Tamandua tetradactyla: one gene and its partners. The protein of the gene in region 1 interacts with the protein of each later gene in a pairwise test. Links are inferred from orthologs where the notes say so. Each region holds a gene or a part of one and is shown on either strand. Other genes may lie near its edges. The genes, in order: CCDC184, RPL9, PIN1 and PBLD.

Region 1 (7,021 bases):
AAGGAGCTGACTAGAGCTGATGTCAGTCTAGGTTCCCTGGGGAACCCCTTACCGGCATTCTTCAGTAGACGCCTGTGGCAGTTACTGTGGTTTCTCCTTTGTGTGTCGCTACCTCTCAACAATCCCAGGTAAACCCTCCCAAACAATATCCCCTCTCTAGCCCTTCCATGAAACAGGTGTTATGCCTGCCATTCCAGGACCCAGGCTTGGAAATCATCTCCCAGGGACCAGTTACTTCACTGAAAAGACATCTCTAGCACATCTAGAGTTCGGGCTACTAAAAACCCAATTTAGTTTAGGAGTCTCAACACATACTCCCTCCTTCCTTAGTCCAATTGGTGGTTAGGGTCCAGGAAAGAAAGTAAAGCCGGCAAAGCTGTCAGTGTCGGTCCCGACCAGAGTCGGTCAATTCCTCAAAACTGGAGGCAGGGAGAAAGAAGGCAGAGTTCCTTCCAGAATCCAGGGCCCAGAAGCCTCACCCTGATATCCCCCTGATACCAGTCAGCAAGGAGGGGAGATGACACCTCTTTATTAAGTTCACACCAAGGAAAGCATTGAGAAGGAATACACAAAGGAGGGAGAAGAGCACACAAGTCACCACTTGAGGAGGCATGAGGGAGGCACATCAGTTAAGGATCCTCAGGACAGCCACATGCTCCATGCCCTGGTTGGGGGTGGGTGGGGAGGAGAGCAAAGGGGGAAGCGCCATGATAGCATAGAGCTCCAGAAGGGTCTGCAGCCTCCTCAACCTAACATCAGAGCCAAAAGCCCTGCCCCTCAGGGCTCACACACTACTATACAAGTGGACACACAAAGCACACAAGACATCATGGAGGCAACACCAAGAGGCAGTGGGCAAGGACATTTTGTCTGGAAAAGGAGCTAAAGTTAAGCAGGAATAGCCAGAAGTGAGACCAGCTTTTGACTGCAGCCCCCAAGAGTCCCTCAAACGTCCCCTAAAGCTGGGCTGTTGCTGAGCATCCCGAGTCTCTGCCTGTGAACCGGGCTCTTTGTTCTCTAAGCCCCAGTGAGTGGAAAAGCAATCCCAGATGAAGTCAGTGACAAGGCAGGATCCATGCAAAAATCCTAGAAGTTGAGCTATTATGTCTTCATGCACATACATAGCCAGCTCCTCCCAGCCCAAGCGCCCTTGGAACCCCATTCACCCAGATTCCTAGGGCTGCAGTTCCCTCCTCAAGCTTTCTTTACCAATCATCAGGCGCAGAGATTTGTGAGGGGGAGAGGTTTCTGCAGAGCACTGAATATCTTGGGTTTCAGCAGAAAGGTAAATTTCCTGTTTCCAGAACAGAATACCCCAATTCCTTAATTCCTAGGTAAAACTTTAAAGATTATTTGCCAGAGTCCTAGATAAGTCCTTTTTCAGAATAGAAAAAGCAGAATTTTATTTACATAATTTAGGAGTTCTCCAGTTGGCTGGGGAGGGGACAAGGGTAGGGTAGGGGATGGATGGTAGTCCAGAGATGGGGCCGCTTCTTCTCCCTGAACCTCACCTTTCCGCGGTTTACAAAGTCTCTCTTATTGGGCAGAAAGAATTCTTGATGCTCCCAAAGTCTTCACCCTACAAATCCTTCCTCAGGGGAGTCTCTCAGTCTGACCAACAAGAGCAGCCGTCAGAAGCATGCTGCACCGCGCTGTTCAATCCCCTCACGTCATGCACCGGGAAACCCAAAGCCAGCCGGGGAAGGTAGTGCCCATGCGGAGTCTCCTTACAGAGAGGCCTCACCCTCCAGCTGCAGGAGGGTAATGTCGGGCAGATCAAGGGGATCCACAAGTGGTCCGTCCCCCGCAAGAAGGCCAGCACAGGGGCTCTTGGGGCGCTCACAGTGACTGGTGGGTGTGGCGGAACTGGTGGGCACCTCCTTCTCCTCTTCCTCATCGTCGTCCTCCTGATCCTCGGGATCACGACCCGGTAAGCCACTGTCTCCCGTCCCAGGAGAAGGGATCTCCGGCTCTTGGGGGGTGCCCGAGAAGCTCCCTTTGCCGCCGACCACGCCCAGGCCGCCCTGGCGGGGCGCGGTGGTCATAATCTGGCACATGGAGACGATGGCCCGTTGGTTGGCGCACACGTCGTCCGAGAGCACCTGGATATGCGAGGCCTGCTCGTCCAGGGCCCCCCGCATGGCCCTCACGTCCTCAAACAGGGCCTGCAGCTGGGCCTTCAGGTGCTCCATCAGTTCCTTCATGCCGCTGTTGTACTCCCCAGAGATCACGTCCCCCACGGCCGGCACGGTGGACACCTCCAGGGGCGCCGGCATGTCGCCGCCGTCCTTGGTCATAATCTCCAGCAGACCTTCCTCCATTGAATGGCACAAGCGGGCGGTGGCGGCCCGGTCTCGGAGTGGGGCAAGGGGCGGGGAGGGGTGGGGTCCCCGGGGGGGCGAGAGGAGCCCAGGGAAGAGCAGGCTCTCCAGAGGGGCAGGAGCCGACTTGAGGAGACGAGTCCTGGGAGGAGGGCGCGGGCAGGACCTGGAGAGGCAGGGCAGAGGCGGCGGGACGCGCGCCCGGCGAGGGTCCCAGGGCCGGCGACTCTCGGACTGTCCCCGGGACGGAAGCACCCTGCCCTGCTTATCCTGGACTGCGCCCGTGCCGGCAACGCCTTTCGAGCGCCACGAGCGCCTGGGTCAAGGCCGAGGCCAGCAGCGGGTCCGCCTCGGGACTCCCCCGCGCCATTAACCGGCAGCGCCCGCGAGTGTGGCTGGAGCGGCAGAGGTGGGTCTCCCGGCCGCGCCGCGAATGCTCCTCTGTTTCCAAGGCGACGCACGGCACGTAAATGACGTCTGTCTCCATGGCAACCAGGAAGTGGAGAAGAAAAGGAGAGGACGGTTGGGAAGCTGCAGTGGGGCTCCCTCGTCTAAGCTAGCAGGTGGGGCGGGAGGGGAGGGGATGCTGCAGTGGCCTCAGGGTAGAGAGAGCATGTGGCTGCGACGTTCTATAGGAAGCAGGAGGGAGCAGTTTGCTGCGTACACGCCAAGCCCAGGAGAGATCATCCCTCCCCCAGGTAGGGTATTAGACACTGAGCGCGACTGCCTCAGAATGCTTCTCACCAGTCGGTATTCCTTTGTCAAAGGAATGGCGCTAGACCCAAGTCCTACTTTTCTGTCCTCCAGCCGTTTGCAGGGAAGCGGAGGGTAGAAAGACCTACGCTAATAATCCCAGACTTGAACTGGTGCGCGGCGGCGCTCTGCGGTGGGTCCCGGCAGGCCATAGCTGTGCAGGGGCAGGAAGAGGGCACTACGGAAGTTTCTGCAGAAAATCAGCCTATTTCACTGTAGTAAGCACAAAACTGAGAAAGGGTGGGATTTCCTCCGTTGGAGACCCACTCGCTCCTATCTAGGTCACTGTGGGGTTTTCCAGGATAGTGAGGCAAAGCACTCACACTTTGAATGAAAGCTCCTAAAAGCAGAGGTTTTTGTTTTTGTTTTTGTTTTTCACCTCATTCACTTAATCCCCAACACCTAAAATAATCCCTGGCACATAGTAAATTAATGCTCAGTAGATTCGTTGAATGAGTACTTTAACAACAATCACTCTGTCCCCCATTCCCTCATTCAGAACTCTCAACAAGTAGTGGATTTTTTTTGAGACCTGAATTCAGGGTATGGTTCTGCCACTATTAATTCAGAGATCTTGGCTTAATCAGTTTCCTGAATATGTGGGTTCCTGATCCACGTTTTCCCGATCTGTGGATAATCCATAACATTATTTCCAACTCTGAATAATACTACACCTGCTCACAGGTGAAACGGTAAAGTGTAGAGGGATGATGGGGGGGGGACCAGGTGTGAGGGTAATATCCCCCCCTTCCCCAGTGCCCATGACATACACTGAATGTCCCAACTTTTGTGACACTACTTGAGGGGGAGAGTGAGAGTTGAGGTGGAGGAAGAAAAATTTGATTTAGTATGTTTACAGAAGACACAAGATTGGGAAGCAGTGAGCACCTGAGCAGCAGCATGCTAGTAAATAATGTCTCTACTAAGTCAGAGAAGCCAAGTGGTTAGAAACCGAAAATGAAGTTCCTAAGAACAAATACATGTGGGAAAAAACAAACTATCACTTCAATATGGAGAAGTGCTAGCTATGGGTGAATGTTTTTTGTACAGTTGTTCAGTGAAAGCAAATGTGTTGCCTTGGGGTTACTTTGGTTGGGTGCTCTAATGATGACGAGGAAGCTGGTGCCCAGAAACTTAGGGCACTAAAAAACTGTTTGGCCTTTGCCTGTCTTACGGCTATTAAAAAATATAAATTGGAAATATCCTAAATGTCCAACAGCACAATGTTTAAATAATCTAAGGCATTGCTGACATAATACAATAGTACACAGCCATTAGAAATTTGATCCTCTTCCCAATAAATGAGCAAAAACAAAAAACAAAAAAAACCCACAGTATTTTCTAAAACTAATGATTCAATACTATTCGCTTGCTCCTTCCTTCCTCCCTCCATGCCTCCCTCCCTTCTTTCCTTCCTTCCTATCTACTCTTCCTTCATTTCACAAAGTTGAATCACTCTCACCTTGCTTATCCCTGCTACCTTCCACAGAGTATTCCGAAAGCACTGGCTCAGGAGAGGACAGTAATGCTTTTTCTTGGTTTCCCTAAACACACCTGAAGTGGGCTGATATTTACAAATAGACTTTACAAAAAATTGTAAAGACAAGGCACATAAAAGCAGCTAAGCTTGTACAGCGTACATTTCTGGTCATATTATAGCAAGTTTGTTTGCAGAGCTTATGGAATCAGCCTCCTGCTCAATCTTCCTAAGAGAGCTATACTCCAGCCAAAAAAGGCTGGCATGACTTCCAGGCTTTTTGCCTGCATCTGTTACTGCACATCTCTTGGCCTACAGCTACCTACAAGTAATGGCCCTGTCCTCATAAGAGGGCCTCCTATTTTATCAATCCACTAACCCTACATTAAACATAGCCTCCTCAGAGTCAGAGCTGGGTTATGCCATCATACAAGGCTTTTTTCCACTATTGTTGAGGATACCAGATATGTCAAGGCTTTAGCATAAGATTACATCATGCTGTCTAGAGGCAGTGGCCATGAAGCCTGCTGAGAATACAGCAGGCTTGAGCCTAGAGGAGAGGGAAATTATTGGAGAAGCAAGAAAGAAAATGGGAAACAGGTGCAGAGATGAAGGGGTGTCGATGATCCAATCAAGTTCCAGGTCAGACATTCGAAAGCCAAGGGTAGGTGGGAACTGGGAATGGACCAGTAGCAAGATTTGTAAATAAAAGAAGGAGATGATTGATGTGACAGATACAAAACCAGATCATTTCAGGAATTCTGAGTGAAAATATGTTGGGAAAATAGGAGTAGAATCTAGTCTCCAAAAAATTGCACAGCAGAGCAGAGCCTCAGTCAGATGGCTGAATTACAGGGCTGGTTTCTCTGGATGCCAATGTCCTAGGTTTGTTGAATGGATCCATTTCCAAACAAAAGGAAGCAGGATGGGCATCCTGGCATCCCACTGAAGTATTCAGAAGGAATGTCACATCGCGAGAGAAAAAAATCCCCCCTCCCCCGTCATGTTCTGCTTCTGCTTCCTGCTTTTCTCTTATCTTAGTCTTGCTATCCCCTCATCCTAGTCTCATCAGCTCATGACGAGAAGAGACCCCATGCTGTTACACATATAGATCTCCTATCAGGTGCACCCAGATCCAACATCATATTCTCCCTTAAATTTGGATTCCGAATAGTCTCTGTTATTTATTCTATCTGGCATCTAGTTTATCTCAGTCTCTATATAGCTGGGTATCTTTTGCACTATTAATGTAACAGTCATGATGAAGATACTTGCTTGACTCGGGTCTAGGACAATGATCTAAGTCAAGATACAGCTGACTACTGCACTTTAGTTTCCAAATCCCCAACAATAACTCCCCAAACGTAACTTTTAAGAAGCTGAAGTGCCTGTGACCCATCTCAGTATGGTATTGCATTCAAAAGAAATACATACACTAGCCAAAAATAATTAAAAAGCAATTGAAATTTTTATTAAAGTCTCTGGGAAAATTCTAAAGGGATTTACTTATATTCTTAGCACAGAGTAAACCATCTTAAACTTCTCTTCCCTCCTTCTCCCTTTATTGCACACGTAATAGCATAACTGTTACCATTAGTCTTTCTCCTTTCTCCCCAGATACCCCCAAACTTTCTCACAAGCCTGGCCCTCACTCTCTCTCTCTTTTCTGCTTCTCTCACTTCTGGATGTATTCCTTCTGTCTTCTATAGGAAGAGACTCCTTGCCTATCCAATGTAGATCAGTCCACGTTTGTTTCAGTTCCTTTGATTCTGTCCCTCATTTCCCTGACCTGCACAGATTCGAGGTACCCCAGCTGTCAATGACAGGTGTCTCAGAGGGCCAGAGATACTGAGAGGATGAGAATACTCGTATTATGGGTTTTGTCTATCACTTAGACTAGGTTTTCTCGGTACCAGAGGATAATTTGCCTGGTGTTATGGCCGACCTGCTTTGCTCATCTCCCCACTTACCCAGAGTAACAAGCATCGAATTTTTCAAGGATTCTGGCCCTTGTGAACCGTTGACTGGGAAGGAGCTCAACTATCCATGTCCTCAAGAGATTTTAGTGACAGACATGGCCATGAGGTGAGCCACATATCCACTCCTTACTTAAAGCCTGAGCTGGACTTTCAATGGCTTGTTCATGACCTTAAACCACTACAATCACCCCCACCCCACCCCCACGAACACACACACACACACACACATACATACCATTGCCTTCTTTCTCTTCCACTTTTAACTTTACCAGAGCAAGAACTCCAAGGCTCTGTCCAACTTCTCAGGCAGGCTGAATTTCCACTGAAAGTGATCCCTTATTCCAATTGAACCTGCTTTGTCGGTGTCCATTCTCTCTCCCCTCTCTGTACTGCCCACGGTTACAGCTTCTCTTATAGCAACACTTGCACGGACATTTTTTCCTCTTTCAGTGCATATTCAATCATTTATCCCACACCACTCTCACATAAGC
Region 2 (7,450 bases), on another chromosome or scaffold:
ACCTGCTTAATCACACTGTCCCAGGGTGGTTGCTGGCTCTCTCGGTGATACAGTACCAGAACACACTATTCACACAATGCAAATCTTATTTCTATTGTATATATTTAGTATCCCTCAAAGTTTTTTACATAAAGGTTTTCATTAAATGTCACTAATTACAGATAGTTATCAAATAATTTCTATCTCAATAGAATAAAAAAGCATCCAGAGTACTAGGCTTTAAAACTTAATTATGTCTCAGGCAAAGAAACTTGGTGTTTTTCAGTTTAATCATGAGATATTTCCAATTTTAGAGATGCGCAAAATGAGAGCCAGTGAGTTGAGATGATACTTGGCAGTCCACACTATTAACTGCACTTTTTAGGATTTCAATTTGCAAACATAATTGAGCCAACATCCACGCCCTGCAAATTGCTCCAACGTATAACCCGTCAGGATCCACAACTGGTAAAGATAAATCTTTACCTAGCACTAAATCTTGTAAATATCAGAAAGGAACTCTGAAATAATCTGGTTTTACTCATAGGCAAGCCAAATGACCAACCTTCACAAGTATGAAGGAAAAATTTCTGAATATCTGAGGATATGCACATACCTGGCCTCATCCGAACTCTGCGGATATATTTTTCACCCAAGAAATTTCGGATTTCAACAAGAGAACCACTCTCCTGAATAACAACGTTGATGGGGAAGTGAGCATACACAGACCTCATCTTGTAACGGAAACCCTATAACATTAATAAATTCAGCTTCAAAAATTTGTACAATGTTTACATTATACTTTCAAGAATTTTAACTGTCCTCAGTTTTTATGACTGACACTTCTGCCAAATCTTACATTTTTATAAACACACATTTCAGTGTCTCTTCACTGAACAGCGTAAAGTTCTTCCAAGAAGCACTTATTTTACTACCTCCCATGGCCACAGCAAACAATATGCTAACTTCTTTTAATGAAAGCCCTCAGAGCCCCTCATCTTTAGCACTGAGTGGACATTCATCCAGTTACTAAGGTATGCCAGATGGCAAGTAAGACACAGGCCCCATGCTCTCAAGGAATCTAGTCTGGAAGCAAGATAGGGAGAAACTTGATTTGACAAGGTTCATAATGGAGGTAGGTACAAGGTCCCATCATCAACTGCACTCCAGAAGGTAAGTAAAGCTTGCGCTGTTCTAAAGGATGTCTAAATTTAAATTTAGCAAGGGAAAGAAAAGCATTTCAGCAATGGCAGTAGCATAAACTTTCTCTTAATAACGAAGTCCTTGGAAAGAGACTACCCACATCATCTATGCATCTGAGAAATTGGGAGGAGTTCAGTTACAAGTTATATCCATCTTTTCTACACCTCCAAGGAGCCCTTGTGGTTAAACATACTAACAAGTAACCAAAGTCTATTGTACTTATTGCAGCTGTAGTTTCTGGTTTTCTAAAAAGTAATTAAGCCTCTCATGTGAAAACAATACACCATCATCCTGTTTTTGTTTTAAAATTCCACCCATCTGGTCTTTAACCACATCATTCAATTCTAAAGATCCAAGGATGCCACATTTTCCACGACTATTTTTCCAAGTTCTAGCGCTTATATCCCACTAAATTACATGTGTATTCCATGCTCTTAGGAAGGCAAGTACAACTGAGAAACTTCTCCCAAAACAAGTGTGGTCAATATACTTACCAGTGTAACACCCTTGATCATGTTCTGTACATGACTACAGATAGTGCGAACCGTAGCCAGCTCCTTTCTATTTCCCCACCATTTGTCAACCCGAAGCTGTTAACAGGGAAAAAAAACCCCAAACTTTAGAGCCCTCAATATGTAATGTTTTTATAAGTATACTACATCACAGGTACACAATTTCACAAGGGCATGACTACCCCAAAACAATGACTTTTGTAAGTTACAACAAACTTCACTTCTACAATACCAGATTTTAAATGACCCACTGTACCATCTCTAAGATCAACTGAGAGAAATACATCAGTTAAACCTAATTTGTAATGGTACAAAGATCTGCCACTGAGTACTACTTAGTAAGCTTTATGCAGAATTTCATTCTTCAACTTCCCTAAATAACAAGTCAACTACTATTGTGAACATCAAACCTTCAAGTAAAACATTGCACCTCCAATTCTGCAATTTCTAAAGCAACCAAGTTGCATGCTATTATAAGTCACCATATTCCAAACAAGTATCAAAAAACCTTACCCTCTTCTTTTTCTTCCCAAGTAGACTGAGTTCTACATTGATATGATTGAAGTCCCTTCGCAGGGTTCCCCGGGGCCCCTTGACAATAACTGTGCGTCCCTTCAGCGTGATGTCGACTAGAAGAAAGACCGTATTCGTGAGACCACAAAGCAAGGTAAAGGACGTTTAATAAATATGCAAAAAGACAAAACATTAAGTCTCATACCATTTTCTGGAATGTCGACAGTCTGATTGCTGAGAATGGTCTTCATTCTGAAACATAAACACTCGAAGTGAAAAAACCGGCGCAGTGTGTTCTCGATCAAACCACCCGGCAAAGTTCCACTTCTACAGGAGACTTCCAGGCAAAAACTTGGGAAGGACACAGGATAACTACCTACGCCCTAGAGCGGCCCCCAAAGTGTCCTCGCTTGGGAGAAGACGGCCCTAAATCGGTGTTAGACAGCCCAGCCGGCGAAGGTCAGCCAAAACCACTTTCGCTGCCTTGGGAGGCCCCATTCTGGCCACGCCATCCCGGAAAGACCGAGGGGCGGGAGGAGGCCTAAACGCCCAGAACAGGGCCTGAATCCCAGCACCGCCATGTCAATACCGGGCTCCTTGTGCGGGGTTAAAACCAGAATGAAGCCTCCGCGCGCCAGACCCGCGACCCCCGCTTTCCCGAAACGGATGGCTTCAGATTCTCGAAGCCCAGCGAGGATAAAATCGTCCTCACCTCACAGTAGACGCGGCAAAGAGAGAACGTGTTTCGTCATCACGTTCTTGTAGCACGTAGGGTCCTAAGTATTCCGTCATAAGTGCGCGACGCCGCTAAGGCTAAAGCAGCCAATTGCGACGCAGCTCAAGTGCCATCATGTCAGTGGCGGACTGAGAATCTTGACGTGAACTGAGCGACGGTCCATTAAGCTGTACTTTCCCAGGAATCATTGGTCCCTCCACCCTGCTAGATCCAAAGAGAAGATGTCTCTACGTTACAGAGGGACCGCCCGCGTACTAGGGCCCCGGGTGAGCGGCGGGACGAGTCGTTTGTGGGTATTGGGTGGCGGGCACCCATCCCTTCAAACGCTTAGAGTGCCCAGTAATAAAGCCTAACACTTGGTAGCGTTTGCCTTGCGCCAGACACTGTTCCAAGCATTTGTCATATACTAAGTCATTTAATTCTCCGGACAGCTCTATGAGGTGGTATCTCTGGTAGTGAGTTGATTTAATGTTCTCTGGCCCAGCGCTGAGGACTACACCCACCAGCACCTATCTCAGTGCTTTGTACCCTACATTTATTAAGGCACTGCGCTTAGCACTCCAAATTACTGCTTATTATTATTCTGCGTTCACTGTGTAGTAAATACAATTCTACCGGTCCTTTAGGCTTTGGAGGGAGACAGGGAAAAGTACAGTAGCAGTTGTGCCGCAGCCTAACTCTAAATTTATTAAAGGTTACCTTGCGTTACATGTGCTGACTCCTGAACTTCATAACGGTTTGGCTTTCTTGTGCACATCTGTGTTTATATTTAGAGGCCAAAATACCATGGCTTTATATGTTCAACAAATATTTATTCTGATGTTCAAATACAGAGTCAGTGTAAACTGGAAAATAAAAACAACATTCGATTTGGTTTTCCTCCTTCCAGTTCTCTAAAACTAACTTGGCCTTTCCTTTTTGTTTAACACTTATGCTTATGGAAAGCCAAAGCAGAAAGATTTTTGCACATTTCCATGTACGTGTCCTTACTCAAGTCAGGAATGGAAAATTCCTGTGGCATCCTCTCCAGTTATTGCAGGTTAAATTTGTGGAAAGACCGCCTTTTAGTACCTAAGTGAGATACATGAAAGTGACATGTTGGTTCCAAAGGTTTCCAAATCCATTCAAATCTAACAAAAACAGTTAACACCCATTCATCTTTAAGTTTGGATTGCTCTCTTTAGATTCTAAGCTCTTACATAATTAGAACTTCTAAATATCTTGACTAACTTCTGAGTCAGTTCTCTGGCTTTACCTTCCCTTCTAGATACTAATAGGTTAAAAAGAAATTATTCTAGTCCCCACTAAATAAATTAGGTAATATAATGAACTCTCTCTCTCTCTCTAGATATTTGGAAGGTATTTATGCAGTCCAGTCAGAGCATTGAGTTCCTTGTCAGAAGAAAAAAAGGAATTTTTACAGAATGGACCAGATCTTCAAGATTTTGTATCTGGTGATCTTACAGACAAGAACACCTGGGTCGAATATAAAGGAAACTTAAAACGCCAGAAAGGAGAAAGGTAATTGAAATTTTGAGACAATTTTAATTTTAATATCCATTCTTTCATCATGCATTATTTCCAGATATAACAAACTCCAGATTATTATTTTTTTATTTTAGACTTGTTAAATTTAGCCAAAATCACCAGAAAAATAAGTGCTAACTAGTAAAACCTAAATAGAACAAAGAAGTAATGAAGTTTTCGGAATCCTTTTCTTTTCTCTTTTCCCTGTAACAGCTTTTCTTCAAGCTTCCCAAGACCTATTTCAGGAGCCTTAACCATCTTCAAGTACGATCTCCTATTTTCTGCCCAGCATCTAATTTCTTGAGAATGAAAGTTGAAACTTTGCTACTAATCTGTGTAGACTTTAGAAAAATTTTTTATTATTACTTGATGCTGATGATCCAACTTGTTTTGCTCCCAGTCAATTTATATGTAACCTATAAACACCTTACCTTAATTCTAAAGAATGGTGAGGGAATTTCATCCATAGGGCAAAATGTTTTGTAGGATACTTTATCCAACAATTTCTAGATCACGAATTGGCAAAAGTTGAGGGGAATTTGAGAATAGATCATCTCTATTCCAAATTTTAGCTTTTTTCCATTTAATAATCATTTAAAAATCTAGAATGTAGAGCACATAGTGCACTGTTGGGATCTTGCCTTACTCTGAACAAATATAGTACTTTGGGGCAGTATTATCCATTGGGGAATGAGATGTTAAAAAACTTATTCTTTTATTAGAATGGTGTAAGTCTGCCTTTGCAAAACTTAGACATAAACATAATACCTTGTTAGATGCCATTTTCAATATTTTCTAATGTGGTTTGAGTAAGCCTAAATTGTATTATTCCTATAGCTGAAATTATGAGTTAATTCAGCATTATAGCAGGGTGGCGGGGGATATCCTAACTAGGAATTGTAATAGAGCAAAGTGATATCAAAACTGTGTGATTCCTTAGCAGTATATTTGTTAAAAGATAGTTATGTTTGGCTTTCCTCAGGTTAAGACTACCTCCATGGTTAAAGACAGAGATTCCCATGGGGAAAAATTACAGTAAACTGAAAAATACATTGAGAACTTTAAATCTTCATACAGTAAGTCTGTCAAAGTGTTAAATATTCCTCTTATCCAAAAGTCATGCTGTTTCTACATATATATATAACTTAAAAATTAATATTAAATATATAAATAACAATTCAGAGGAAGTAAATAAAAAAATGTCATTGATGCATTACTTCCAGCAATTGGAATACATTTAAAATAAGTTTCCCTTCAAAAGAGAAACAAAAGATAGTAATAGTTTGTATTTCTTAACTTCTCATTTAATAATTTTTAAAAATATGTATATATTATTTTTTCTATAACTTGAGAAACAAGTTTTGTTTGATTTATATTACAAACAAAATTATGAACTCATTGAAAATAATATAAAGTTAAATATGAAAGCATGTCACTTACACAATCCCAAATGTTAACCATGCCACTCTTATACTTTCAGACTCATAGACCTTTTTACTTTGCACCTATAGAATATATACATGCATATCGATTTTAATTTAAAGGATAGGCCTGTGGTTTGGCAATTGAACAGCATTTTTTGAATAGGGAATTTCTTCATTAATATAACAAAGGGCAGTTTAAAATGCCTAATTCCAAGTTGTTCAATTGGTTACTATTTTCAACCTGATTATTCCCTTTTGCTCACAGGTGTGTGAGGAAGCTCGATGTCCCAATATCGGAGAGTGTTGGGGAGGTGGAGAATATGCCACAGCCACAGCCACAATCATGGTAAGGACAGCCTCAGACACTGAAATTTAAGTCTAGAAACTGACAGGAAATATTTTTGTCTTCCTACTAAAAATGTGCATTATGAATCTGATCAAATTTTTCATTATATGGGAGTTTATGAGAAATATGAAGGGAAAGAACTGATAATAATCCAGCCTATTATGATCTCACCATTCTTTGAATGAATCTGTTATTGATTCTGTCAGCTACCTGAGAGCTGATCATGTGCTGCCTTGAAACATCTCTTCTGTTAATTTTTGGAAATGTTTTTCTGTTCCATCTGTTTTACAGGTAGGAGCTGTGCTTCAATTTAACTCCAACAGAGACCTGCACATTGCTGTTAAACAATTGTGTATTTTGTTTTTTTTAAATCATTTTATTGCTCCGAATAGATATAAAAGAATGTTTATAAACTGTGTGTAAGTTATAAAGAATAACAATACAGTGGACACCTAGATACTGTTGTCCAGTTTAAGAAGATCAGCATTATCTTTGAATCCCTCCTGTGTGTCACTTCCTGATCCCATCCCCTTCTCTTGACACGAGTGTCCTGTTCCTTATAGCTTTATTACATGTATTTTTATTGCTTAACTACTTATTGTTCAGTTTGGAATATTTCAGACTTTTTATAAACAATCAAACTGTACAACTTCTTTACAGCTTGGTTCATTATCTTAACATTATTTTCTTGAGGATCATCTGTTTGATTTAAATTACAACATTTCTTTTCTAGTTGATGGGTGACACATGTACAAGAGGTTGTAGATTTTGTTCTGTTAAAACTGCAAAAAATCCACCTCCACTGGATGCCAATGAGCCCTACAATACTGCAAAGGCAATTGCAGAGTGGGGTCTGGATTATGTTGTCCTGACATCTGTGGATCGAGATGGTTAGTATGTCAATCATGTCTACTTCCTGAAACTGGCTCTTACTAAATTGTGACATCGTCTGGAACCATGGGTTATTTTTGTTTCTAGATATGCCTGATGGGGGAGCTGAGCACTTTGCAAAGACTGTGTCGTGCTTAAAGGAAAGGTATTTGCTTTTGTAATTTAAAATTAGACCTTTTTGTCCCATATAAATTCCATTTATTTAGGGTCTTTACCTGAAAGCAATGATTATTAACCTTTTCAGGGGTTACAAATTCTTTAGATAATCTGATGGTAATTATGTGGCTGTTTCTCCAGAAAAAGTATATTTGTACATAGA
Region 3 (7,644 bases), on another chromosome or scaffold:
CTTAAACGGTCTCATGTAGATAGTGGTGGCCATACTAGACAGCTTTAGACGAGGGTTCTGCAAACCCTGATGGGCCAAACCCCATTTGCTTTGGCAAATAAGGTTTTAGTGGAACACAGCCACGACCATTTGTTTACGAATTGTTATTGGCTGCCTTCCCACTGCAACAGAGACCTTATGTCCTGCAGAGCCAAAACTATTTGTCCATCTACCCTTTTAAGAAAAAAGTCAATCCCTGCTCTAGACTGTGAAGGAGACAGAACAGTGCTAGGAATAGCCTCCGCTCTCAGGTCAGAATTCACTCACGCAAAAGGCTCCTTTTGCGTGTGTGACCTTTATGACCTTCAGGACCCACCTGCCCACACAGGTGACCCAGGGCTCTGCTGGATGATACTAAAACAGCTCCACAACTGAGAGCCGACTGTGTGCCCAACACTACCTCACCTCGGAGGCAGGTGCATGGTGATGCCCACTTACAGAGGAGAAAACTGAGCTTGGAGGACAGGCAGTGACAAAGGTCCCCCAAGGTCCTGGGGTCCCCAGATCTGTTAGCCTCCAGGGCTGGGTCCTCTATGCCTACCCTGGCTCACCTGAAATGCCAGATAGTGAGAAGAAGAGGCAGCCATGGGTGCCAGGCTCAGGTCCTGCAGTGACATGTCATGCCATACCTCACAGCTGGGGCTGAGTGTCTGGTCTGATTCCCACAAGGCCCGTTCCCACCAGCCCTCCCTAGAGTGAAGACTCTCCACTGATATCCTGTGCCTGGCTGTGCTCACCATTGATCAGCTCCAGGGCCTCCTCCTTTGTCCGGGTGATCTTTTCCTGCCGCCAGGACGAGGGTCGCCGTGACTGGCTGTGCTTGACCAGCAGGTGTGAGCAGCGGACCCTGGCAGGCTCCCCCTGCCCATTTTTGCCACTGCTGTTGCCACTGGGCCGCTCCCACTGGCTGGCATTGGTGATGTGATTGAAGTAGTAGACCCGGCCTGGAGGGGAGGGAGGTGGAAGTTCAGCTGACTGGAAGTCAGGATAAGAGACTGGCCAGTGTTCAGTTGGCACATCCATGGTGTGTCTGCCATGTGGCATAGGCCCCGGGGACACTGGGGCTAATCTAACAGCACCCAGTCCCTGCCTTCAGGAAGTTAACATACTAGGTGGGGACAAACGGGCACTAAAGACGCAAAGTAGACAACTTCAGTCATCGATAACTTCAAAAAGAAAAATAACCCAGGAGGGACAGAAGAGAGCAAAACAGGAGAGTGTTTCAAGTGTACACTCAACAGCCATGCCACCACGGTTCAAATCCACCTCTGCTATTCGTTCACTGTATGAAAGTATGTATGCTCTCCCTTTCCTGGGCCTGAGTTTCCCACCTGTAAAATGGAGCTAACAGTTGCTGTTGTAGAGTTGTTGGAAGGAATGAGTGCTCATCTATAAAGTGCTTAGGACAGAGCCTGGCATGCATTAAGAATGTAAGAATTACCTCCCTTTTATAGATGGCAAAACTGAGGCCCTGCTTCCCCGTCTGTGGTAAGAGCAAGAGCGGGTAACGTTTCCTCAGTTGTTTACTCTGCTCCAAGGTCAGGGAGTGGGATGGGGGCATGGGGCGAGACAGGAACTGTACACAAAAGCTCTGCTCTCCATTGTGGCACAGTATAATCTCCTGCAGAAGAAGCAGGGACCAGCATTACCGGGGGCCATGGTCCACCCAGGGACTGAGGAGCACGTACAAGTGAAGTCTGCAAACAAGCCTGAAGGACCCAGTAGAGAAAACTGTTATCCCAGGGGCTGAGGGTTTGCCTGAGTCACATAGAAGACTCAGGCCCAGTGCTGCATAGGGCAGGGGGTCACCCTTGAGGGTGACTGTCAGGAGTGGGGGAACCCAGAGCTTGGCAAGAGCATCAGGCTGATGCCACAGGACCCAGACACAGGCAAAGGTGGGGGGGCAGGTCAAGGGCTCGGGTTCTGGGGGCAAATCCAGGTGAGTCACTGACTACAAAACCTTCTGCAATGAGATCTATCCCCCTGAACCTCACTGTTCTCATCTGAAGAGTGGGGGTGAGAGAATAAGGACATCAAACCTCATGGGTGAATGTGTGGAGAGAGAGTCAATGAAGATGCATGCAAAGTGCTGTTCCTCTGAGCTCTGGAGATAGCTGCTGGGCTCCTATGAAGTTTGCAGTGACATGATTTTGGGGAGGGCCCCGGGAGTCAGGTTTAATTTTTTTATCAAAAAACTAAGATTCTTCGATATATATAATCCAGTTTACTGGATTTAATCCAGTCACTACCCCCTAAACTGAATGACCACGGGCAAGAGTTCCTTAAGCTTTCTGGCCTCAGTGTCCTGCCCTGCAAAATGGGGGCAATAACCGTCAAGTTCCCAGAGTTGGGGAGATTCTGCCTGGTGCAGAGATGAACGTGGCCTGATATTGGTGTCGTTATGGGGGGGGGGGGGGTCCCCACGCAGGGCCCGTGCTCAGACAGGGTTTCTGCGGTGGATATCACAGACCGTGCATTAAGTGTGGTTGGCAAGGGTGTTTCGAGGAAGCCACGCCCCGGGCATGGATTATGGGGTTACCCTCTCCAGGGATGCCCTCCGAGCCCGAAGGGATACAGGGACGTCAGGCGCATGAGGGCCGGCAGAGACAGGGCCAAGGTCCGGGGGTGAGCTGCGGGCTCCCTGGCCCCTCCCCACCGCACCCCGGTCTCAGTTTCCCCCGGCTTCCTGGCTCTCGAGGCTCAGAGGCCCCACAGGGCCGTTACTCGGGGACAACGCGGAGGAACCAAGACCCCACGGGAAAGAGGCGGAAGCGCCGCGGGGCCCCAGGTGTAGCTCGAGCCCAGCTTTCGCGGGCCCGCGCGGTCCCGCCCCGGCCCCGGCCGCCCCCGACTCCCGCGGCACCTGAGCTGCGGCTCATGCGCTTCTCCCAGCCAGGCGGCAGCTTCTCCTCATCCGCCATCTTCCCTTCTTCCGCAGCGCCCGTTCCGCCTCCGCCGCGCCGCCGCCCGCACCCGCCCACTGCCGCCGCCGATTGGCTCGACGCGCCCCGCCCCGGGCCTGGAGACAACGCTTATTGGCCACCCCCGCCGTCGGCCCTCGCTGCCAGGCTTTTTATTGGGCAGAAGAGAGAGAAGGCGGCCCCACCCCTGCCTTCCCTAAGGCCCCGCCCCCGACCGGCCTCACCCCCGCCCCGCCCCGTCCCTCTGATTGGTGGGTCATGATGCGGGCCCGCCTTTCTCCACGCTCTTTGGCGAGCTTCAGAGTCCAGATCGCGGCGTCGCTGCCTCGCCGCCCAGCCGGGCAACCCGGAGCCTGGTGCTTGGCCACCGAGGCGGCCCTTCCCACCCTCCCAAGCCGTCCCCAGAGGTCCGCAGGCCCCCCTGGTTGCTATCCTCGGGGAAGTGTTTGCCGGGTGTGGGGGTAACGGCAGCCGACAAGGTTCTTGGGAAAGGCGGTGTTGCCTTTGCTGTTGCCATAGCAACGCAGTCGCCTTGGTGACGAGTAGCTGGGAGCCCAAAACCTAAATTAGGCTCCTCCATTCTCCCTTTTCCCACCTGTTTCCAACCAGAAGTCCAAAGCCAACCCGCCCTCCTTTATTTTTGGCCAGGCTAAACCCCTGTCTGTGCTACTGATTCCTGACACCGTCCCCTTCCTCTGGGACCTGCTCCCATCACTTATTCCCTCTCAACCTCGCTCCTTCCTCCGTCCTGGGGGGTGGGGGGTGGGGGGCGGCGCGGGTGGGAACCGGGGAGGACGATGAGCTTGGTTTGAGCCAATTTTAAGTTGGGTTTGCGGTGCCCGTGGGGCACTGGGAAGGTGGATGAGGACTCAGGACTGGAGCACTGCAGGGTGGAGATGATATGGGAGTCAAAGACACCCACCGGGAGAGTTCAATTATAGTTCATCTAAAGCGTGGGTTTCTGTTGAAAAGAATGAGGCAGAGGGAAAGCAGGTCCAGGACAAATTCGAGGCAGGATGGGGGCGGTACCTTGCTATGACCTTGAGCAAATCACTTAACCTCTGTGCTTGGGCTTCCCATCTGCAAAATGGAGACCAAAAAATATACGTATATATACTCACCAGTTCGATGTGAAGAGTAAATGGATTAATTCAGATAAAGCACTGAAAACAGTGCCTGGCCCATAGCAATGGTATGAAAATGTCAGTATTGTATGCTGGGTGAAAAAAAGCAAGTCATGGCTCAGCAGAGCAATTATAATGTGCACGAAAGCAAAACAAAACAAAAACATTAATAAAGAATACTGTGGTAGGTTGAATTGCACCCCAGTTTGGACATGTTCTTGTCTCAGTCCACTTTCTAATGGGTTTGGACCCATTGTAAATAGGATCTTGAAGATGACACTTCAGTTAAGGTGTAGCCCAACTGAATCAGTGTATTGGTTTGCTAAAGTTGCCAGCATGCAATACACCAGAAATGGAATGCCTTTTAAAAAGGGAATTTATTGTTACAAAGCTTACAGTTCTAAAGCCAGAAAAATGTCCAAACTAAAGGCATCCAGAGAAAGATACCTTGACTCAAGAAAGCCTGTCACATGGGAAGGCACATGGCTGGCGTCTGCTGGTCCTTGTTCCTGATTCCGTTGCATCCAGCTTCTGATTCGAGTGGTTTCCTCTCTAAGTGTCTTCACTTAATTCCTCCAGGACACAACTCTGGGTTCTGATTAGCTTGGCACCTCATGGGAAGGTACATAGCCACTATATGCTGTCAGCCCTCCAAGAATCTCCAGGTGTCTGCATCTCTGTCAGCTCTCAGCTTCCTCCAAAATGTCTCCTCTTTTAAAGGACTCCATAAACGAATCAACACCCACCTTGAATGGGCGGAACCACATCTTCTAACCAAAAGGCCACACCCATAATTGGGCAGGCCACATCTTCATGGGAGTACTCTAATCAAAAAGGTCATACCCACAATTGAGTGGGTCAATCTCCATGGAAACAATCTAATCAAAGGTTCCCACCCTGCAATACTGAATCATGATTAAAGGACGTGGTTTTTCTGGAGTAGGCTACACTTTCAAAACAACTCAATCTGGTTGAGTTTTAATCCACATTACTGGAGTCCTGTATAAACAGAATGAAATTCAGATATAGAAGGAAAAAGCTATTGGAAGTGAGAAGCTGGAAGTCAAGGGAACCCAGAGGAGATAGAAGAGGTGCCATGCACATTGCCATGGGGTGGAAAAGCCAAGACAGCCAGTCAGCCAGAAGATACTGACCCTGGGAGCAAACAAGCTTTCTAGGCTTTGAGAGTTTGAGCCAATAAACTCCTGTTAAGCCAACCCATTGTACGGTATTTGTTTTAACAGCTGGGAAACTAAAATGGGTACCAATTAAAAGACTGAGATAGATTGCATATGGAAAGACGTCAAAAATATAAAGTGAAAAAGCAATCTGCAAACAGTATAAACATACATACTTATCTCAACTGTGTAAAAACTATAGATTTGAATCAGAAAATTTTGGAATTTGTTCAAACGTGTTAATGATTTGGTGATGAGAGTGAATAAAGATATTAAACTCAATTTTTAATATACTATTTGGATTTTTTTTTGGTATGCTGTATGGTGGGGTCACATTTCATTATTTTTTCCATGTATCCCATTATTGCAGCACGATTTGTTGAATTTTTGTTTATTTTTGGGAAGTGCATGGACCAGGAATTGAACCCGGCTCTTCTGCATGGCAGGTGAGACTTCTACCACTGAACTACCCTTGCACCCCCTGGGTCTTTTTTCACAAGCATGAATTAGCATCAATTTTTAAGAAAGAACTTTTATTTTTGAGATAATTCTAGACTTAGAGCAGAGGTACAAATGCAGTACAGTGTTCCCCTAACCCTTCACCCAGCTTTCTCTTATGATACCATCTTACACAGAAATAGGGCAGTGCCTCCAACTGGGTATGACTTTGCTCTCCAGGGGACTTTTGGTAATGTCTTAAGACATTTTTGGTTCTCACAAATGGTGGTGGAGGCAGGGGAAGAACACTACTGGTATCAAGTGGGTAGAGGCCAAGGGTGCTGCAAAACATCCTACAATGCACAGCCTCCACAACAAAGAAGTATCCAGCCAAAACGTCAACAGCGGCAAGGTTGGGATATCTTGGCCTAAAACAGTCATCAAAACTAAGAAATCAACATTGGTGCAATGCTATTAACTAAACCACAGGCTCTTCCCTTGTCTCTCATGACCTTGACACTTTTAAAGGATAGAATTCCCTCATTCTGATGTGTTGTCATGATGCGTTAGTCCATTTCTCATGATTAGCCAAGGTTATGCATATTGCGGATACCACAGAATCCATGTGACCTTCTCAGTGCATATTATCAGGTGATAGATGATGCTGAAATTTATTACTGATTATAGTACAGTATCTAATGCTGCAAACAAATGATCCCACTTCTTAGTGGATTATCATTTATTATCTGTTTTCTCTGGGTTAGGAATCTGGGCACAGCTTAGCTGTGTTGGCATGGACAGTTGCGGGCTCATCAAAAGGTTTGACTGTGGCAGGACCTGCTTCCAAGCTGGTCCATATGGTTGTTGGCAGGATTCAGCTCTTCAGAGGATGCTGGACTGAGTGTTAAGGTTCCTTGCTGGCTGTTGGCTGGGGGCCTTTCCATAAAGCAGCTTACCATATGGCAGCCAGCTTTTATCAATGACCAAGCAAAAAAGCAAGAGTGAGCAAGCAAGATGGAGACTGCAGTTTCTTTGCAACCTACTGTCAGAAGTAACATCCCATCTTTTTTGTCATACTCTATTCATTAGAAACCAGATGCAGACCACATCGAAGACAGGATTACACAAGGGTTAGAATATCAGGATGTGGGCCATCTCAGAGACTGCTTACCACACTGATGATATTAACTTTGATCACTTGATTAAAGTGGTATCTATACTTACTATTTTCCTCTTTTGTAATGAACAAGCATTTTGAGAGTCATACTTTGAGACTATGCAAACCTCCTACTTCTGCTTAAATTTTGTCACTCACTTCAGCATCTACCAGTGGATCTTGCCTGCAGCAATTACCCCTGTGGTGCTCCAGTGGGATCTCTTAATTTTACCTTTCCATCTATATTATTTGGAAACTTTCTGAAAGGGAGAGTTGTCCTTTCTCACCCATTTACTTATTTATTCAATTATTAATTAATGTTAGAATGGGTTCAAGTCTATTTTATTCTTTGGTTTATAATCAAATACTATTATTATTTCACTGCTCAAGTTGTTCTATTTTGACCATTGGGTGGTTCTTTCATAATAGCTGCTGTGTTTTTTGTTTTTTTTTCCCCTCCCATCTTTTAACGCTTCCTACTCTCTGTCATCTTGTATTTTCCCTGCCTGCCCTGGAATCAACCACTTCGCCGAGAAGCCCTGGATCCTTTTTTGGAGAATAGTATTTAGAAGCCAGGATCAGGGCACTAGGTACTGGAATGCCTCTGCTTCTGGTCCCTCTCGGTGGATACAGCAAGGAAATATATATGTGTATTTCTGTGTTTGTCTGTACATATATTAAACAAAAGCCATGAGTTCATACTGATACCCCAACTCTACTCTAGCCCCACAGTGCTCATTCTTGCCTTCCTTTTTTTGGGGGGGGGGGGCACACGGTCTGGGAATTGA
Region 4 (7,079 bases), on another chromosome or scaffold:
TGAAATGAAACAAAGCTTTAGAATTGTATAGAAACTCTTAAAACTGTTACCCAGAAATTTTTACTTTCTTTTCAGCAGTCTTTTGTCAAGTATTCAAAAGCTCATAGTTCAATTCCCTAGTCTACCGCTGGATAAGGATTGGTTTACATGCCTGTTTACCCATGCACTAGACACGCACTTTGAACACCTCCAAGGAAAGCAAACATATTAATCTTTGTACCTCTGGTCCCTAGCCCAGAGCCTGGCTCATGGTAGACGTCAATAAATATTTGTACAACGTGTTACAACATGCTGTATACCTACTGGATTTTGGTCAGCATTATAAGGTTTAGCGCTTATGAGTCTCTGATATTTTTCTACATTCACTTTTGTTCTTTCTAGGCATTTCAGGTGTTCGCTCTCTCCAGCCATGGGCAAAGAACTCAGGGGCAGAAAACACAGTTTATACATCTATTGTAATTTGTATTGATTATAAATTGGGAAAAACCTCCAGGAGGACAGGATTCTCATATCTAAAGAGTGGGAAAACATGAGGAAGTGGCTTAGCAAACTAATTTTTAAAACCTATTCATTCATTGGTCTTTACTATAGCAATGCAGATATTTGTAAGAACTTTCTATTTGATATTTTGAGAACATTCAGTTTTGACAGCTGATCAAATGGTATCTAAGTTAGCATTTAATATTTAGAATTTAAGAACTTCGCTATCTGGATACATAGATTTTTTTCCCTGTTGCCTTAATTTTAAATTGGTTTATGAAACTTACTGCGCAAACACAGGCTTTACAATGATTATATGGATATTCTATTTAAATATGCCTATGGTTAAGTTAACTAAGATATTCATTGTTGGTGGTCCTGAGTGTATTGGTTGTTTTTTTAAATAAAAAAAATTTAACAACAAAATAAATAAATAAATAAATAAAACCTGTTCACGTGCCCCTGACAGGTCATCAAGTTAGCCTGTTCTCACAGGCCAAGACCCAAACAAGTGAGTTGGAAGACCTGAATGAGCTTTGCATTCTTCCCCAATCAGGGATTTTCTCGTCTTCTTTTTCCTCCTTTCATTAGTACTTAAGTCTATTGCTTTGAACTTTGTTAAGCTCTAAGCTAAAATATTTCTTTCCTAGTCTTTCTAAATACAGAAATAACATGGAATATATATTTTAATGGAGAAATAGATAGGTAGATAGATGATAATGGATGGATGGATGGATGGATGGATGGATGGATGGATGGATGGATGGATGGATAGACAGATATAGATTCTCTAAGTCTGGTGTTCAGTGAATTTACTGGAGGTAAAAGGAGTACGTTGGAAAATAATGCGAATTCTGGTTATCTGGTGACAATTGAGTATATAAATCACTTAAAACTATTTCAAATCTCTTCAAGGATATTACATGGGGACATGAGCAAATCTACTAAGAATCTTGACCTAGCAGTTTTAGTCAATTCCAAATTCCTTGACAAGAAGTTATGTTTGCCAGATTGTTTCTTTAACAAAGCTCACAATTTGGAATCTGGTTGTTAATATCCTCTCACTAATATGCCCAAGCTCTTGAGAGTTAGTACTTGAGAAAGCCTATTAACTTATTTATTATTTTTTGCATTTTGAGGAGGGAGAATGCCACCTACAAGACTGCAAGAAGGATGCCTTGTTAAGGTGAGATGAGGACTTTAAATCACCATTTTACAGCTATGTACTGAGGACTCAATTAACAATATTCACCTAAATCAGTAAAACCTTAGCGATTCTCAACCTTGAATGCACACATATTACTTGAGGAGCTTTAAAATAACAGTGATGCCTGAGTCCCACCTCCAGAGATTCTGATGTAATTGGTCTGAGACACAGTCTGGACTTAGAATTTTTTAAAGCTCCTTAGTGATTTTAATGTGCAGGCCATGATGAGATTCTTTGCACTCGAAGGCAACGTACGCTTTTTGCCCAACTTAATATGACTTGTTTGAGATCAATTTCTTAGTGTCCCTTAAGTAATTCTCGGGTAATCCTCTCTTACACCAGCCAACTGCTCTGAGTGGAACCTTACCTTAGCTTGTTTCCTACTACCCAGGGACCAATACAACGCCCCTAAGGTCAAGGAATATTAAACTATTCTGTTAATATTTATCCTAATAAAAAAAAAAAGTCATTTTAAAAATGAGACTTGTGGCATGACAGTGGCTCAGTGGCAGAATTCTCGCCTGCCGTACTGGAGACCCAGGTTCATTCCCCAGCGCCTGCCCATGCAAAAGTTAAAAAAAAATAAAGGAGACTTGCAGGGAGGGCAACGGTGGCTCGATGGCAGAGTTCTCGCCTGCCATGCCTGAGATCCGGGTTCGATTCCCAGTGCCTGCCCGTGCAAGGAAAAAAAAAAAGAGACTTGCGGTAAGCTAAAGTCACTATATATTAGGGCTTAGTACCTTCCACTTAATTTTATAATTCCTTGCAAAATGTCTCATTTTCTTAGTCCTGAAGAGACTTTCTACTCGTGTGAACTGTAAGTAGAGTTAAAAATATCCAGCTAGAATTGCTTAGACTAAATGTAATAGAAGTCATATCCAATCACATAAAATTCATCTAATCTCATTCTCATGAACATTTGGTGTTAACTAATTCTAGTTCTTCCTTAGATGAATCTTCGTTTCTCTAAACTTAACTGAGGTGCAAGCATTTTCTTCATACTATTTGGTCAAAATCAACTTCGGGATATGAATGTTGCTGATATAATTTACCAAAGAATACAAACCAAAGAAGTAAACAAACAGCTGGGTCTGATTTTTTTTTTTTTTTTAAAAAAAGAACTAATTGGTTCTACAGAATGTAGAATTTCAAATCCAAGTACTTACATTTTCTAGGAGGCAAACAGCAGCAGGATTCCCACGAAATGCTTTTGTTGTAAATGCATCTACTACAAAAACAGGGAGCTTCATTTTTCTTGCAAGTTCTTAAAGTTGTTGGTAGACTTTATGTCTAATTGTTGCAAAAAATAAAAAAGTTAATATTTTACTTGGTGTAGCGAAGCAACTAGCAGTTGCCAGGTATAAAGTCAAGCGATTATTTTTAACACACCTGTATTTAAAGATATGTGGTCCCTAGATATTTTTTAAAGCTTCTAAGTTGAATTTATTTTAACATACTGAGTAAATGGAATCTTTTCAAATACTGTATTGAGTTTTCATACAGTGTATATAACAGCACAATCATATCCTTTCTTAGAGTAGACAAAACTAGTATAGGCTAAGTTTATAATAAAGTGCATAAAATGGCCAAGAGGCAAGGAAATCTGCTATTTACACTCTACTAGTGGAAATCTCTACTATTTCAAATGAACACATTTTTTCCTAATTATTAAAAAGTGCCCATTATAAAAACAATGGAAAATAAGTAAAAAAAAAAACCCACACACAACCATACAAACCGGCAATCATTTATTAATGTTTTGGATATGAATTTCAATCACATTTTTCCCTCTTAGCATTATAGCATGAATAGTTCCTAAGGGCACTAAAAATGCTTTAAAAACATCAGTTTAATAGATTTACAATAGGTTTATGGATATGCTACAAAGTATTTAGCCATTTCCCCTTTAGCGAATATTTAAGTTTCTAATTTTTCACAGGTAAAGATAATGTAGTGATCAAACTAAAAAGTAGATAAATCTACTTCTCTGATTTTTTTTTAATCTATGATAGCTTTCTAAAAGTGAAATCCCTGGGTAAAAATGTGTAGACATTTAAACTTATACACACAATTTACTTTCAGAAAGATTGTATAAATTAAGACATAGTATGAGGGAGTCCTACCATTGCTAATCTGATAAATGAAATATAATATTTTGAGTTTTCATTTGCTTTTGTTGAATTATTCTAACCAAATTGTAAGAACCATGAAGTCAGGACTTGTTTCTCTTCTCTGCTATAATCCCAGCTCCTAGAATTTCTGGAAAGCAATAGGTACATATTGAATTAAGTAAGAAAGTAAATAATAAACTGAGAAAAACGCTAAAACTGGACTTCACACATTGGCTGACAAGTACTTGGGATTTCTCATGATGGTACCCCCTGTGAAACAACATTTCAGATCAGTAGTATTACTGTGTTTGACAGTATATTACGATCTGTTTATGTAATTAGAAATGTTTTAATATATTGCCTTTATTACTTTAGAAAAATGAATAAAGAATAGAAACAAATTAAAGTTCTAATAATTATATTATTTCCATAAATGTAATAGAATTGAGACAAATTTGTAAATCATAGGTGTGCCAAAAGGAGCAAGTTTTTAACTTTATGAACTCATTGGTCCCAGCCATTGGGTACATTTTTAATTGGATGAATAACTATATATTAAAGAGACTGTCTAATTTTTCTATTGGGATCATATATATTCATGTGTTAATTTTTACAATAATATGTTTGCTTAAATATTCCTCTAAATTTTACTTAATTTAATTCATTGCAGAAGAATGAAATCTACAACTAAGTACTTTATCAGGCTACTGGAAATACTGCATTGTTTCTCAAATGAGAACATTTCTTTAAAGAAAAAAAACTTCCAGAGTTTGACAGTTACTGTCATTTGCCAGAACAATAGCCTTTTTCCCATACCTCCCTCTCCCCTGCCACATATACCTTCTCTTTTCCTTAAAAAACTCCAATTTGGCATGTGACCCATTTAGGGAAAGATCACGACAGGGATTCTGGAGAAAATACTTTGTTGTTTTTTTCTTGAAGATGCAGAAGTTTTTATTGGCCACCGTTTTCCAAAGGGCACCCTGCATCTCTTGCCTCAATGCCTCAGAACTTTGGTGTCGTTGGTCTCAGATATCACTTTGCCATCCACAATCCTGTGGGTAGTCTTCTTGTGGATGGTTTGCGTGGAGTTGCTGCTATCTAGGGCATCGCTGAGACTGAAGTCCTCTCCATCTTCTAGCAGGCAGTGGTATGCGGCAATCTCAGCCTCCCAGCTTGACCTTGATGTTCAGTAGGGCCTCGTACTCTTGGGCCTGGCTGTCCCTCTGCCCGGGTCTGTGCCAGCTCTGACTCCAGGTGCAGTGGGACCCCATTAAGCTGCTCTATCTGCAGGGCATAGCCGGCTTCCACCTCCCGCAGGCTGTTCTCCAGGCTGACCTTCAGATTTCTCATGGAATCCAGGTCGATTTCCAAGGACTGTACAGTATGTCTCAGCTCTGTGAGTGTCATCTCAGCAGCTCCTATTTCAGTGGACTAAGAGGTGACCACTGTGCTGCTCTCTTCAATCTGCTGAGACCAGTACTTGCCCAGCTCCTCTCGGTTCTTCTGAGCCAACTCATCATACTGGGCCTGGCTGTCTGCCATGATCTTGCTGAGGTCCTGATAGTTGGGGGCATCCACCTCCACGGTCAGCCCAGAGCTGGCAATCTGGGCTGGTAGGCCCTTTACTTCCTCCTCATGGTTCTTCTTCATGAAGAGCAGCTCCTCCTTAAGAGCCTCGATCTCCGTCTCCAGCTGCATCTGGGTGATGTTGGTATCATCGATGACCTTCTGGAGCCCATGGATATCCTTCTCCACGGACTGACGCATGGCCAGCTCAGTCTCGTACTTGACTCTGAAGTCATCAGCAGCCAGTCGGGCATTATCAATCTGCAGAAGGATGTGGGCATTGTCACAGAATTTTCAAAGATCTGAGTCCTTAGTTCCTCGATGGGCTTCAGGTAGTGGACCCAGTCCCTGACCTGGCATCCCTTCTTCTCCAGGTGTTCAGGAATTTTGCCCTCCAGTCTCCAATTCTCAGTCTCCAGGCTCCTCACCCTGTCCAGGTAGGAGGCCAGGTGGTCGTTCAGGGCCTGCATGGCCTCTTTCTCACCCTGGATGCCCTCCATTCCCTCCAGGCCCATGGCCAACCTGCTGGCCAGGCCCCCGGCCCCCCAGCCGCCCTGGGAGCTAGAGGAGCGGGACACAGAGATCCGGGAGCCCGAGCTGCCTGGGCCCGCATAGACACTGGCCACGCTGCTGGTCGGCCGGACCTGGTGGCTGGGCAACTGGACAGAGCCCAGCAATTGGTAGTTGGTGAAGGTGGTGGAATGGGTGGTGAAGCTCATGTTGTCTGGGGAGGAAGGCAGGAAGCCGGGACTTGGGATGTGGCTGCAGACCAGTACTTTGTTTTTGATAAAAGTAGCAGGGCTGAGTGGAGAATATCTTCTATTGCCCTTACCCCCTTTTGCCCATCTTGAACATGTTGCTGATGCCTAGAGAGATAACACTTATCTTTTGATCATGAGGTGACACGTAAGAAGAACTGCCAAGCTAGGTAACAAATAGTCTGGGTTCTTGATGATAAATAAAATGTTAGAACCTACTACCCCCAAACTTCTGCTTATGTGAACAGTGAATGCTGTTAAGGCTCAAGCCATTGCTAGTCCATGAGAGAATAATGGCCACTCAAAAGATGTTCATGACCTAATTCCTGGAACCTGTGAATATGTTACATTTCATGGCAAGGGGGAATTAAAATTGTAGACATAATAAGGTTACTGATCAACTAACCTTAAAATAAGGAGATTCAGAAGGAGAAGAGAGGAGAAAAGGGCTAGGAAGAGTAGTTGAGTATATAATGGAGGGAAACTTCCCAACCCTTGTGTAAGACAAAAATATGCAAATCAAAGAAGCCCAGTGAACACCAAACAGAATAAATCCAATAGGCCTTCCCCAAGACACATACTAACCAGTCTGTCAATTGTTGAAGAGAAGCGGAAAATTCTGAAAGCAGCAAAGAGAAAAACCATCTAATACATACAAGGGAAACCACATGACTGAGTTTAGACAATCCAACTGGCACCATGGAGATGAGAAGGCAGTGGTATGATATATTTAAGATTCTGAAAGAGAAAGACTTCCTGCCAAGAATTCTGGACCCAGCCAAATTGTCCTTCAAAACTAAGGGAGAGATTAAAATTTTCACAAACACATCCTGAAATAATTTGTCAACAAGAGACCAGCCCTACAAGAAATACTAAAGAGATTTCTACCAGTTGAAAAAAAAAGACAGGAGAGGGAGGTCTGGAAGAGGGCACAGAAATGAAGAGTAAATACAT

Evidence for each region.
Region 2: the proteins of CCDC184 (region 1) and RPL9 interact in binary tests that used the Homo sapiens proteins (3 or more experiments, as listed by UniProt). The two-hybrid records come from large-scale screens. The link is inferred for Tamandua tetradactyla from reciprocal best matches to the Homo sapiens genes CCDC184 and RPL9.
Region 3: the proteins of CCDC184 (region 1) and PIN1 interact in binary tests that used the Homo sapiens proteins (3 or more experiments, as listed by UniProt). The two-hybrid records come from large-scale screens. The link is inferred for Tamandua tetradactyla from reciprocal best matches to the Homo sapiens genes CCDC184 and PIN1.
Region 4: the proteins of CCDC184 (region 1) and PBLD interact in binary tests that used the Homo sapiens proteins (3 or more experiments, as listed by UniProt). The two-hybrid records come from large-scale screens. The link is inferred for Tamandua tetradactyla from reciprocal best matches to the Homo sapiens genes CCDC184 and PBLD.

What each region holds. Positions count from the first base shown.
Region 1 is NC_135333.1:108,230,279-108,237,299, reverse strand, and holds CCDC184 (coiled-coil domain-containing protein 184), read right to left. Parts: upstream 2,737-7,021; 5' UTR 2,322-2,736; coding exon 1,728-2,321; 3' UTR 510-1,727; downstream 1-509. Other genes in the region: ASB8 (ankyrin repeat and SOCS box protein 8), read left to right, coding at 2,905-3,019.
Region 2 is NC_135345.1:41,212,840-41,220,289, forward strand, and holds the start of RPL9 (large ribosomal subunit protein uL6), read right to left. Parts: upstream 3,008-7,450; 5' UTR 3,000-3,007; coding exon 2,920-2,999; intron 2,884-2,919; exon of another isoform or gene 2,797-2,883; intron 2,460-2,796; coding exon 2,413-2,459; intron 2,324-2,412; coding exon 2,208-2,323; intron 1,773-2,207; coding exon 1,677-1,772; intron 729-1,676; coding exon 596-728; intron 1-595. Other genes in the region: LIAS (lipoyl synthase, mitochondrial), read left to right, coding at 3,165-3,209, 4,292-4,464, 5,453-5,546, 6,160-6,240, 6,974-7,130, 7,219-7,276.
Region 3 is NC_135337.1:91,911,438-91,919,081, forward strand, and holds the start of PIN1 (peptidyl-prolyl cis-trans isomerase NIMA-interacting 1), read right to left. Parts: upstream 3,011-7,644; 5' UTR 2,961-3,010; coding exon 2,903-2,960; intron 984-2,902; coding exon 777-983; intron 1-776. UniProt on the Homo sapiens protein: Peptidyl-prolyl cis/trans isomerase (PPIase) that binds to and isomerizes specific phosphorylated Ser/Thr-Pro (pSer/Thr-Pro) motifs.
Region 4 is NC_135339.1:29,027,249-29,034,327, reverse strand, and holds the start of PBLD (phenazine biosynthesis-like domain-containing protein), read right to left. Parts: upstream 3,007-7,079; 5' UTR 2,938-3,006; coding exon 2,854-2,937; intron 1-2,853.